Caenorhabditis elegans: one gene and its partner. The protein of the gene in region 1 purifies or fractionates together with the protein of each later gene. This does not show direct contact. Each region holds a gene or a part of one and is shown in the gene's direction. Other genes may lie near its edges.

The links. Proteins that work in one complex are often made in the same cells at the same time.
Region 2: the proteins of R11H6.5 (region 1) and prmt-5 fractionate together in Caenorhabditis elegans (co-fractionation; one large-scale study listed by BioGRID). This does not show direct contact.

Annotation. Positions count from the first base shown.
Region 1 is NC_003283.11:14,609,368-14,614,927, reverse strand, and holds R11H6.5 (DZF domain-containing protein), read left to right. Parts: upstream 1-2,705; 5' UTR 2,706-2,712; coding exon 2,713-2,904; intron 2,905-2,956; coding exon 2,957-3,185; intron 3,186-3,232; coding exon 3,233-3,415; intron 3,416-3,460; coding exon 3,461-4,032; 3' UTR 4,033-4,194; downstream 4,195-5,560. Other genes in the region: ccnk-1 (Cyclin-like domain-containing protein), read right to left, coding at 1,339-1,626, 1,713-1,835, 1,879-2,004, 2,049-2,133, 2,183-2,283, 2,336-2,371; R11H6.4 (Shugoshin_C domain-containing protein), read right to left, coding at 4,302-4,448, 4,493-4,624, 4,668-4,792, 4,839-4,857.
Region 2 is NC_003281.10:5,228,663-5,235,007, forward strand, and holds prmt-5 (Protein arginine N-methyltransferase 5), read left to right. Parts: upstream 1-1,892; 5' UTR 1,893-1,916; coding exon 1,917-2,212; intron 2,213-2,261; coding exon 2,262-2,343; intron 2,344-2,436; coding exon 2,437-2,630; intron 2,631-2,711; coding exon 2,712-2,993; intron 2,994-3,037; coding exon 3,038-3,443; intron 3,444-3,720; coding exon 3,721-4,202; intron 4,203-4,821; coding exon 4,822-4,993; intron 4,994-5,217; coding exon 5,218-5,436; intron 5,437-5,484; coding exon 5,485-5,556; 3' UTR 5,557-5,845; downstream 5,846-6,345. Other genes in the region: atp-2 (ATP synthase subunit beta, mitochondrial), read left to right, coding at 36-665, 713-1,424, 1,473-1,573; mrps-26 (Small ribosomal subunit protein mS26), read left to right, coding at 5,956-6,117. UniProt on the Caenorhabditis elegans protein: Catalyzes the symmetrical dimethylation of arginine residues in targets such as small nuclear ribonucleoproteins, histone H2A/H4 and cbp-1.

The DNA of each region.
Region 1 (5,560 bases):
AGCCTACAAATCGTCGGAATCCTGTGAAAATCCTTTTTTAGAACTCGGCAGCAGTGAAAAAAAATTATTTAAAGTAGCCGAGATTATTTGAAATTCAAAATACCACAAAAGAAAAAGAAAATGAAATTTCCTTTTGAAAATTTTTTAAAAACTTAAAAACTCGAATTTTTCAATTTTGCCTAAATTCCGTTTGAACTTCCTCCAAAATTAGAAACCACACCCACTTTCAAGCCAATAAGCACTTTTGAACTCCGCCCACTCAATCTGATTGGTCCAAAAGTGGGCGGAGAGAGGAGCTGATTGGTCACAGTTTTGGACGTAAATTGAAAAATCGCGTGGCGTTTTCGAATTTCTGACAATCACTACTTTCACTAAATACGTAAAATCGGTCCAAAAATAAAACTTTGCTCATTCTAGACGATTTTTGTACTTGATTTTGTTAAAAGTGTGCCGCTGATTATCCTCACAATTTTCAGATTATTTTGTCAGTTCCTTCAATTTCTACAGATTTTTTAAAATGTGTTTCGATTTGAAATCAACAGTGTTTTATAATTCTAAAATTTAAATTATCAGAAATTTAATAGGAAATCCGTTTAAACAACCGTGCGGCACTCTTGCAAAAACTTCGCGCCAGAGTTGCGAAAAGAAAGGACGCTTAACAGTTTTGCTGATTTTTTTTGTCATTTTTTAGTTATATGTTAAATATACTATACAAAAGGAGAAAAAAATCATATAATCTGAAAATGTATGTATACATATTCTGTGACTCGTGCGCGATTAGCGTCTTCTTCCGCCGTCCCGCCCACTTTTTCTCTCTTCAGATGCACTTTTTTGGCCGTCGAAAATGGTGCACATTTATCTGATGCGCGTACGTCCGACACGGAGTTGTCTTCTTCTATCTTAAACGGCTTCTGAAACTTCTCTTCACAATTATTCAGGTGACGTGTTAATGCAAACAGAAGAAGAAGAAGTAAAAGTAAAGGGGAACAAAAAGAAGAATAAAAAGAAAAGACATAAAGACTGCTGATTCTTTTTTGTGTTATTATAGTCATCTCTCCGTCATCACGTCGTCAGTAATCCATCCCCCGAACCTCTCTCTTCTTCCCTCTTCGCGTGGGAACACGGCGCACCGAAATTCGAGAAGGATTGGTTTCGACGACGTTGTACGGAACGAATTGATTGTGAATTGGTGCCCAGGGGATTTGTAAACAAATACCAAATAAGTGTTCAGATTTATTTGGTAAAAGAGATCAACACAATCCAAGATTAGGTGTTCTGTACAAAAATAATCTGGAACAGAAGAAGCAAGAAAATATAGAAATATTAGATTTTTGAAAACTAAAAAGTTGTGAGCTTCTTTTTCTCCAGAACCGGTTTTTCTTTAGTAGCAGCGTAGAAATCTAGCACCAGATGACATGCCTTGTCAACTGATTCTTGAGGCCAATTACTAACATCCGCTGACCACCAACATGGATCCATATTCTTCTGAACAGGCTGATATCCTTTTACAGTGAACGCAAGATGTAAAAGTGCTATTGCAATCATTTGTGGCTCCGTGGTAATGCACAATGTGGTGTAGATGCTGTCGTTGATGAATGTCCAAGCTATTTGAACGGCGTCGGTAATCTGAAAATGTGTTTAATTTTGTAATCGAAAAAATTTCTAAAATCGGAACACGTAATGATTGTTGAAAAATAATTTTTTTTACTAACCTTCTCACGATTCATATCTGGAAACATCATCTTATAATCCAGCAAAGCATCGTACGGCAAAGCAACATGCAAGTCAAATTTAAGACTGTGCAACAGTACTCTTTCCAGCCCCATTACATCGTCCTGAAATATTCAATTTATCAAGTTTATGAATCACTTTACTGACCACAAGGTTCTGGTACTTTGAATAAATTTCTGGATAATGAGTCACAGCCGCTTGACAAACATCTTTGCATTTTTTCGGGAAATCTTCGACTTTTCCAGCCAAAAACAAACAGCTTAGTGCAGTTACCTGAAAAAAGTAATTTTAATTGTGCCTGGTAAACTTATAAAAACCTCTCGACTGAATGACTGGAAACTGTGAATCATATAAAACCGATGAAAATATACAGCTGCAACACCGATAGTGGGGCGCGGTTTACTGCAAAATTGAATTTTGAAATTTCGACTTTTTCGAAAATTATATTTACCAGTTGAGGGCATTTCCGACTTCCGATAACAGCTTGATACCTTCACGGCGCCAGAGAAGCTCTTGTTCTTTAGTTAAACCAGCTCTGATGGACGGTGTTGTCTAAAAAACAGTGAAAAATTTAAAAAACGACAACAGAATTTGGTGTCCTTGCCTTTAGCGCCTCCAGCGGCCAAATCCAATCGGACATTTTTGAGATCTGTGAGAGTACTTGATTGAATTGTGAATTTTGAAAAAAAATTGCCCGAAAAAATAGTATAATTTTAGTTAAAACGAACGAATTGATTGAAATTCGAGAATTAGAAAATTAAAATTGGCATGCATTTTTTCGATAAAACACGGTAAGCAAAAGTCCGCAATGTCAAGTCCGCAATTGCACACCGTAGTTGCAAGAATATTTTCATGCTGTTTGCATTTTTTAATTTGACAAATAACAACATTTTGTACATTTCGAGTAAAATATATTGCAATTTTAAACACTTTTTTCACTTTTTATTTCTAAAATTATCAGTTTAATGTTTCAGCTTTCAAATGAATTATAAACGTTCCGCGTTCCGACGCAGCGCTGGGTCTCGTGGATTTAGGACACCAAATATGGTTCCCGGTGGCAATTTTCCACAGTTTGGAGTTCCAATTCCACAATTCCGAACAATATACGACTATACGCTTGACAAAGGCAATTTAGAAGGCACAAAGAATACATCTGATGCGGTTTTTGAGAAGGTTAGCTGATATTCCATAAAAAAATTTTTAATGCTGTATGTTATATTTGTAGGAAATACTGGATCGCGCTGCAAATCTTACTCCATCCGTCGAAATTCGGAAAAGAATCAATGAGTACGCGAAAAAGGTTATAGTCGCTTTGGAAAAAGAAAAAAGAGAAAAGACGCTCGTTGATATTGGAATAGCGACTATCAGTCATGTTGGATCGTTTGTCACGGATACGACAACTCATTCCAGTGACAAAAGTGATGTAGTTGTTCAGCTGAGTACATTACCATCATGTAAGTGTTAATAATTAACATATTACAGAAAAATAACAATTTTTCAGATGAAACAGTAGCGGAGCTCGGTAGAAAAGTAGTCGAAAACATGAAAATTGCCGATCCAAAAGAAACAGGAGAACCATTACAAATGGAATATGGATGTTTAATCACTTCTCATAACTGTCAGGTCAGACTTCTAATCACGATTATTCCTGAAGAATCAACGAAATTGGAACCGCTGTTACATTGTAAGAATTTATTGAATAAATAATATTTTAGTCAACATTTTTCAGTGGACAGCAAGCAAATGATGATCAACTTCTTCTCCACTCGCCACATCACCTGGTTCTCCCAAATTTCCAGCGAGTTGCCACCAGCTTTCATTCAAGAATGGCAAGCACTTGTTCGAGTTTTAAAGGATACCCGTTCAAGATACAGCGACTTCCAGCCTCTTTCTATTTGGACAATCCAGTACCTTGCATTCTATTGCCTTGCAAACGGACCAAATCGCCAGAAAGCCTGTTTGGGGACTGCTTTCCGGCGATTCTTTGAAATCATTGCTGCTGGTATCTTTCTTCCAAAATCACCGTGTCTGATTGATCCAGTATCAGCCAACTATCGCATTGGATTCGACTTGACGCTTCCTCAAATGGATACAGTTTGCATGGGAGCTCAAACTCTTGTCAGAATCTTTGCCACTGGAAACGACGGTTATCGTGCGATTCTTGGAACCCATGGAACTGCAGCCGACCTGACACAAACCATCTCAACGTGGAAAGGAATCGAAATTCGTCCGAGCATCGATGCCTACCGGGACGGATGTATGACCAGATTCCCTGCAAGAGCTGAAATTCCTACAGTTTAAATTTTACCCGAGGGAGTAATAACTAATTTTAATTAGTTTCATTAAAATAACTTAATTAAGAAAGCCCTTAAGATCTCTTCCATCCAGCTTCTTTGTTTCTAAAACTTTTAATGTGAAGTTTTCAATCTGAAAAAATAAATAAAAAATATCATTTCCGACAAATGAATTTGCTTTTAATTGATCTATGGGAAACCGGAAATTATTCATTGAACAAATATTTGTGTGATACGAAAAATTTCAGGGCATTGAAAAATGAAACGAAATGATATTTACAATGGTTTAGAAGTGTTAATTGGTGATTTTCCAGCGATAGAACTTTTGTATGGAGTCTTTGGTGGAAGTCTTCCAGCAATGTTTCCACTTGGTTCTTCTTTCGACTCGTCAATGCTGGTTTTGAATGTGAACCGGCTCGTTATCTTGATTTAAAAATTGAATTCATTGCAACTACTTTAGATCTTACATTATTATTTCCTCCCGGCTCCTCCTCACTTGTCTTGCTCAAACGTCGTCTCATCAGCTCTGCAGTGACCCCTTTCACATGAGAAGTCGGAGTTCGACGCGGTAGACGGCGTTGTGCAATTTTCGCGGCAATCTGAATTGAACTATTCCAGAATATTTAGGCATACAAAACTAACATTTGGCGTTGTTGGAAAATCATCGCCATCCTCTTTACCCGAAGATGATCGTGGATCAGATGATTGTTCAGGTTCTGAAGACTTTTCTGCAACAAGGTTCTGCTCTATTTGAGCTCTGTGGTGGTCTGGAACATGGGACTTGCAGAAAATTTACAATTATAAAAATCCTACTTTTCAATTTTGAAGCCATAATTGAATAGAAGCGAAATAAGACTGAAAATGATGCTGGAATAATGAGGAGGTGGTGAGGTGTGTGTATGTGTTTGAGCGGTGAAAAAGAAACTGTTGGGTGACGATAGAAAGAAGAAAAAGCGGTGTGGATGAGTCACGGATTGATAGAATAAAATAATGGAGACGACGAGAAGACGACAAAAATTGTTGCACAACAAAAACATTGTAAAACACAAACGAAGAGACCGCCCGCTTCTTTTTTTTTTGGTTTTCAGATGAAACACGAAATCAGCTTGCAACTCGTGACTGGATGAAATTTCAGATATTTGATCATTCACGATTGTCATATTACGGGAACACAAAATTCTGAGAATGCGTATTGCACAACATATTTGACGCGCAAAATATCTCGTAGCAAAAACTACAGTAATTCTTTAAATAACTACTGTAGCGCTTGTGTCGTTTTACGGGCTCGATCTTTGAAATGAATTTCTTTTCGAATACTGACGACGATATTTTGAAGCTTTTAAGTTGTCTTCCAATATTTTATCCATTAATAAACTATGTCCGTAAATAGACACAAACGCTACAGTAGTCATTTAAAGAATTACTGTAGTTTTTGCTACGAGATATTTTGCGCGTCAAATATGTTTTGCAGTACGCATTCTCAGAATTTTTGTGTTCCCGTAATACAGCATTAGTAATTTTAAAAATTCCAACGT
Region 2 (6,345 bases), on another chromosome or scaffold:
TAGTCAGATAAATTCAATTCAATTCTGGTTTTAAGGTCTCTGCCAAGGCTACAGCTGCTAACGCTTCCGGACGCATTGTCGCTGTCATCGGAGCCGTCGTCGACGTCCAGTTCGATGAGAACCTTCCACCAATCCTCAACGGTCTCGAGGTAGTCGGACGTTCCCCAAGACTCATTCTTGAGGTCTCTCAACATCTCGGAGACAATGTCGTCAGATGTATTGCTATGGACGGAACTGAAGGACTTGTCCGTGGACAGCCAGTTGCTGACACCGGAGATCCGATTAAGATCCCAGTCGGACCAGAAACTCTTGGCCGTATCATGAACGTCATTGGAGAGCCAATTGACGAGAGAGGTCCAATTGCATCCAAGAACTTCGCTGCTATCCACGCTGAAGCTCCAGAATTCGTCGAAATGTCCGTCGAGCAGGAGATTCTTGTTACCGGAATCAAGGTCGTCGATCTTCTTGCCCCATACGCCAAGGGAGGAAAGATTGGACTTTTCGGAGGAGCTGGAGTCGGAAAGACTGTGCTTATCATGGAGCTCATTAACAACGTCGCCAAGGCTCACGGAGGTTACTCTGTGTTCGCTGGAGTCGGAGAGCGTACCCGTGAAGGAAACGATCTCTACCACGAAATGATTGAAGGAGGAGTCATTGATCTCAAGGTTAGTAGGAAAAAATGGTTCATGGTATTTAAATAAACAATTTATAGGGAAAGAACTCCAAGGTATCTCTCGTATACGGACAAATGAACGAGCCACCAGGTGCCCGTGCTCGTGTGTGCCTCACCGGTCTCACTGTCGCCGAGTACTTCCGTGACCAGGAAGGACAAGATGTGCTTCTTTTCATTGACAACATTTTCCGTTTCACCCAGGCTGGATCTGAAGTGTCCGCTCTTCTCGGACGTATCCCATCCGCTGTCGGATACCAACCAACCCTTGCCACTGACATGGGAAGTATGCAAGAGAGAATTACCACCACCAAGAAGGGATCCATCACATCCGTCCAGGCTATTTACGTACCTGCTGACGATTTGACTGATCCAGCTCCAGCTACCACATTCGCTCACTTGGACGCCACCACTGTCTTGTCCCGTGGTATTGCCGAATTGGCTATCTACCCAGCTGTCGATCCACTTGACTCCACCTCCCGTATCATGGACCCCAACGTTGTCGGACAGAACCACTACGACATTGCTCGTGGAGTTCAAAAGATCCTCCAAGATTACAAGTCCCTCCAAGATATTATTGCTATTCTTGGTATGGATGAGTTGTCCGAGGAAGACAAGCTTACCGTTTCACGTGCCCGCAAGATCCAACGTTTCCTTTCCCAACCATTCCAAGTCGCTGAGGTGTTCACTGGACATCAAGGAAAGTTCGTATCACTCGAAGAGACAATCCGCGGTTTCACCATGATTCTCAAGGGTAAGAATATTTAAACGTTGAAAACATTAAAATTAAATCAATTTTCAGGAGAACTCGACCACCTTCCAGAAGTTGCTTTCTACATGCAAGGAGGAATCGATGATGTGTTCAAGAAGGCCGAAGAACTCGCCAAGCAACACGGAAATTAGTTTTATTTTTTTTGTTATAACGCCGACACTTCGTTTTTCTTTTTTTCAATGTTTTTTGGTAGAGATAAATTTAATGTATAGTTTATTGTATTGTTGCGGTAGTGCTGTTTCCGTCAGACCACTATTTGGTGACTCCCAATACGTTGTTTTCCATCTCTCACTCTCCCTTCTTCGAATTCAACTACCAACCCAAATGCCCTAAAAGGCAACAAAAATAAAGCAAAAACATTATTTTTTTCACACCCCAAGTTCATTTGACTTCTAGTATATTTTTATCAGAAATAAACAGAAAGCCGATGATAAAACTGCGAGTTTGTTGATCGTCAAATTTCAGGTTAAACGAATGAGTAACAGAACGTATGCCGATAATCTGTTTCCACAACAGGTCGCGGAGCAGCATGAGGAACAGATGTCTTCTGGTTCTTCGCCCAAAAGTAATTCTCCCAGCAGAAGTATAAGCTCTGTTGAGGCAGCGAACTCTAGAATACACATCGGATGGATGGCCACAACCTTGGACGTTGCCGAGAATCTAGACCGTCATGTTGCTACTTTCTGTACACGACTGGGAGAGTTCAAGTATAACTTTGTCGTCTACCCGATTGGAGGGGTCGTTCGCGCATTCTGGACGCCTAATGGAAGGTTCACATCGACTATCTTACCCAACTTCAACTAGACTACTAATTTTCAGCGCGGAGAATCATCCACCTGTTATTGATTTGCCCGATGTTCAGCTGAGAAATGATCTCTGGGAAAGCTATGTTGTAGGAAAAGTATGGGGGGTTTTTTTTTTAATTTTAATTACTTTTTCGAAGAACAAGCCCTTTATTCTTAAATTAAAACCTGAAATTGTCATTTTTTTCAAGATTTCTCCATGGATCGACTGTGACTCTTCTGATCCAGCCTTTGCCTCGCTTTCCGAGGAACATCTTCTGAAAGAGCTCAGCTACATTTGTTATTTGGGTCTTCAAACGATGGCAATCGAGCTCACACGCATCTCGTCGCCTCGTACTGCTGCCATTTTGAAAAAATGGATTTGGACTAGAAATTCGCGTTTTACGTAAGTAAAATGCAATATGAAATAGCTCCTTTTTTTCAGTAAAATATTTTTTAAAAAAGCAAAGTTTATATTTATTTTCAGTGTTTGGGTTCAACTTCCGTCTGCAATTGAAAAGTGCAAAGATTATGACGCTTTCACAATAGAACATGTTGATTTATGGACAATTTGGGCCGATTTCCGGAAGAATTGTGGTAATTTCAGTGGTGTTTATTTCCAAGTGGCTTTGACGATCTCTTCGGAACTTCCCGATGAGCTTACTGAGCTTAAACTTGTGGACCGTTGGAAGGCCGAGCCCCTAGCAGCTTTTGTTATCGAATCGGGTCTTTTTATTTCTGGAAGAAATGGAGAAGCATCAATTCCAAGGTAAATTTCAAGATTACATTTTCAAATAAATACTAATTTTTCAGTGCCCACATAAATTTATTAAAACATCTATGGACAACTGATGCACTTCGGATCGTTCTTCGTGCCACAACGGATACATTCAAGTACAATACTTCTATCAAATCCGAGTATTCTCAAGCTCTTCGTCATGCAGTTCGAAATGTTAATTACCGAAGTCGTCCTGATGTTGGAGAAGGATCGAATGACTCCACTCATTATCTTAATGTTATCGAATACAAAGATGTTTTGCAAGCACCTCTTCAACCATTGTCTGAAAATTTGGATTCAGGAGTTTATAATACATTCGAGCAGGATCAAATTAAATACGACGTGTATGGAGAAGCTGTAGTTGGAGCATTAAAAGATCTTGGAGCTGACGGAAGAAAAACTGTTGTCATTTACTTGTTGGGAGGAGGACGTGGTCCTATTGTGAGTTTTTGGCTATTAAGTAGAAAAAGTCCCTTTTAATTCGACATGAAAACATATTTTGTGGCCAATTGAAAACACTCCACCCCCTGACCATGGGTCTCGTTTGGAAGTTGGCGACAAGCCGGAAATTCAAACATTTTGCAGTTAATTTTGCCAATTGTCTGAAGCGAACTGCAACATTTTTCAATTTACAGTTTTTCGGTCTAAATGAATATCAAAACGGGCATTTTTATGCGTCTCCATAGTTTTAAATATTATAAATTTCAATTTTTTTCAGGGAACGAAAATTCTGAAATCTGAAAGAGAATACAACAACACATTCCGACAAGGCCAAGAAAGTCTCAAAGTGAAGCTTTATATTGTTGAAAAGAATCCAAATGCAATCGTCACTCTGAAATATATGAATGTGAGAACATGGAAACGACGAGTAACGATTATTGAAAGTGATATGCGAAGTCTGCCGGGAATTGCGAAAGATCGTGGATTCGAACAACCTGACATAATTGTTTCGGAACTTCTTGGAAGTTTTGGAGATAACGAGTTGAGTCCTGAATGTCTAGATGGTGTCACTGGATTTTTGAAGCCAACAACAATTTCAATTCCACAGAAGTACACTAGCTATGTGAAGCCAATAATGAGTACTCATATTCATCAAACAATTAAAGCTCAAAGTATTCCTTATTTGAGTCGTGCAATTCCATCGCATGGTAGAGGTGAACCGGAATTGGATGAAGACGAAATGTGGATTCAAAAATACCCGTTTGTTTTTCAATTTTTTTATAAAAATATAAACATTCTGCCTTATTACCCCGATGCCAAATTTTGCTAGTCCCGGTCTCGATTAGACAAAATTTTTAAAATTAAAAAAAAAATTCAAACAAAAATCTTTGTTATATGCGAAAACGTGTGCACCTTTAAACTATACTGTAATCTAAGACTTGTTGCTGCAGAGTTTTTATTAATTTTTTATAGTTTTTTTTGGTTGGCATTTTATTATTTTAGTTTAGTTTTGATAAATTGATATTGATTTTTATTTAAAAAACTATGAAAAATCATGGGATATTGAAATTACAGTACTCTTCAAAGGTACAAAAAGTTTCGTATTAACGAATATTTATCGTGTAGATACCGGGTACCGTAATATTAGAAAAAGTATCGCTAAAATTCATGTTGTGGTAATAAATATTTCTGAAGTTTTCTACTCTTGTGTACATAAAGGCCCTGGCCGAGTACACGGAGGTTTCTAGGCCATCTTTTCTTGACGGGAGTATCCGCTCCACAAGTTATGCTTCAATTTACTCTTATTTTAGAATAATTTTTAATTAAAAAAAAAGCATAAAAACTTTTTTTTTAAATTTTAATAAACATTTTCTTTCAGACAAGGACATGTTCGTAACAATATGGATCAAATCTACGTTGTATATCTTTCAAAATACATTCCACTTGCCGAAACCACCAAACCAGTATTCACATTTGAACATCCAAATTTCATGAATTCAAGCAATGAGAGAAGCGATTCTATTGAATTTGTTATGGATAGAAATGCAGATGTAAGTTTTTCAGCAAAAAAAAAAAAAAAAACTTAGAAATTCTTAAGAAAATTTAAAAATATTTTTTCGTTGATTATTTGAGGTAATTTGCTTATATTAAATGCAAAATTCGCACAAATGACAGTCCACCTTTGAAAATAAAACAATGAATTGAAAAATTTTATTGATAAAATATGTGTTTATTAAATTAAAAATCAAATAAGTTAGAACCTAATTTATTTCAGCTGATGGGATTCGCCGGCTACTTTGATCTTCAACTCTACAAAACCGTGATGCTTTCAATTGAACCATCAACTCATACACCTGGAATGGTCAGTTGGTTCCCAGCTGTTATTCCACTTAGAGATCAATTGAGAGTTGGAGAAGGTGACAGAATTTCTCTGAAAATCGATCGAAAAGTTGACAATACTGGTGTGTGGTACGAATGGCATGTTGAAAAAAAGGTAACAGTTTTTGATAACTTATTAAGATTATAGTTGAGTTTTTTCCAGAAAACCAATGGCGAATCTGTGAGCACCCCGATCCAGAATCCAAATGGAGAGAGCTATTACATGAGAATGTAGTGCCTAGTTTTTCGCTTTTATAATTATTATTTTCCTGTTTTAATCCTAATTGTTGATGTGTTATTCACTTTTGCGCCCCTATTGAATTTCCCAATCATTCCTAGAATTTTTTCCGTTGGTTTTCCCATTTCCTGTTGCCCATTTTCCGGTTCATTAATTTGAAGATTCTTTTTTGCTCCGGTATCTATCGCGATTCGATTGTTGCTCCTTTTAATTCGATATTAATTGTTTAAAAATTCAGTTTTTAAGTTTCCGTTAATTTTCCGAATTAAAGAGCTTGTTTTATTCTGTTGTTTTTTTGTAATTTTGAATTATAGTTATTAGTTTTCATACTAAAACATATTTTTATAGAGATTTTAAAGTTTTCCCAATTATTTTTCATTTAAAAATATTTTCAGAATGTTGATAAACAGTTCTCGTTTATCAATTTCTTCAACGGGACGATGTCTTTTGGCATCTGCCATGTCACAAATGGACGAAGTATTCGGAGTACAGAAGAGACAAATGGGACGACGGCAACCAAAGCAGGGAAAACCACCAATTTTGCCTCCATCGAAGAAAGTGAGTTCTATTGATTTTTTCACTAGAACAAAAATTGGAACATAAAAAAATCCAATTTTTGCCGAAAAAAATGCGCCAGCGGGGCTTTTTCCCAAAATGACAGAAAATGTCTCAATATACCGAATATAACTGTTAGAAAATTTACAGTATTTTTCTAACTCCTTAAAAATGGGTTTTTTCAGTCTTGCAACAAAAAAACGTGCAACTTTTTATTGAAAAATTTAGAAG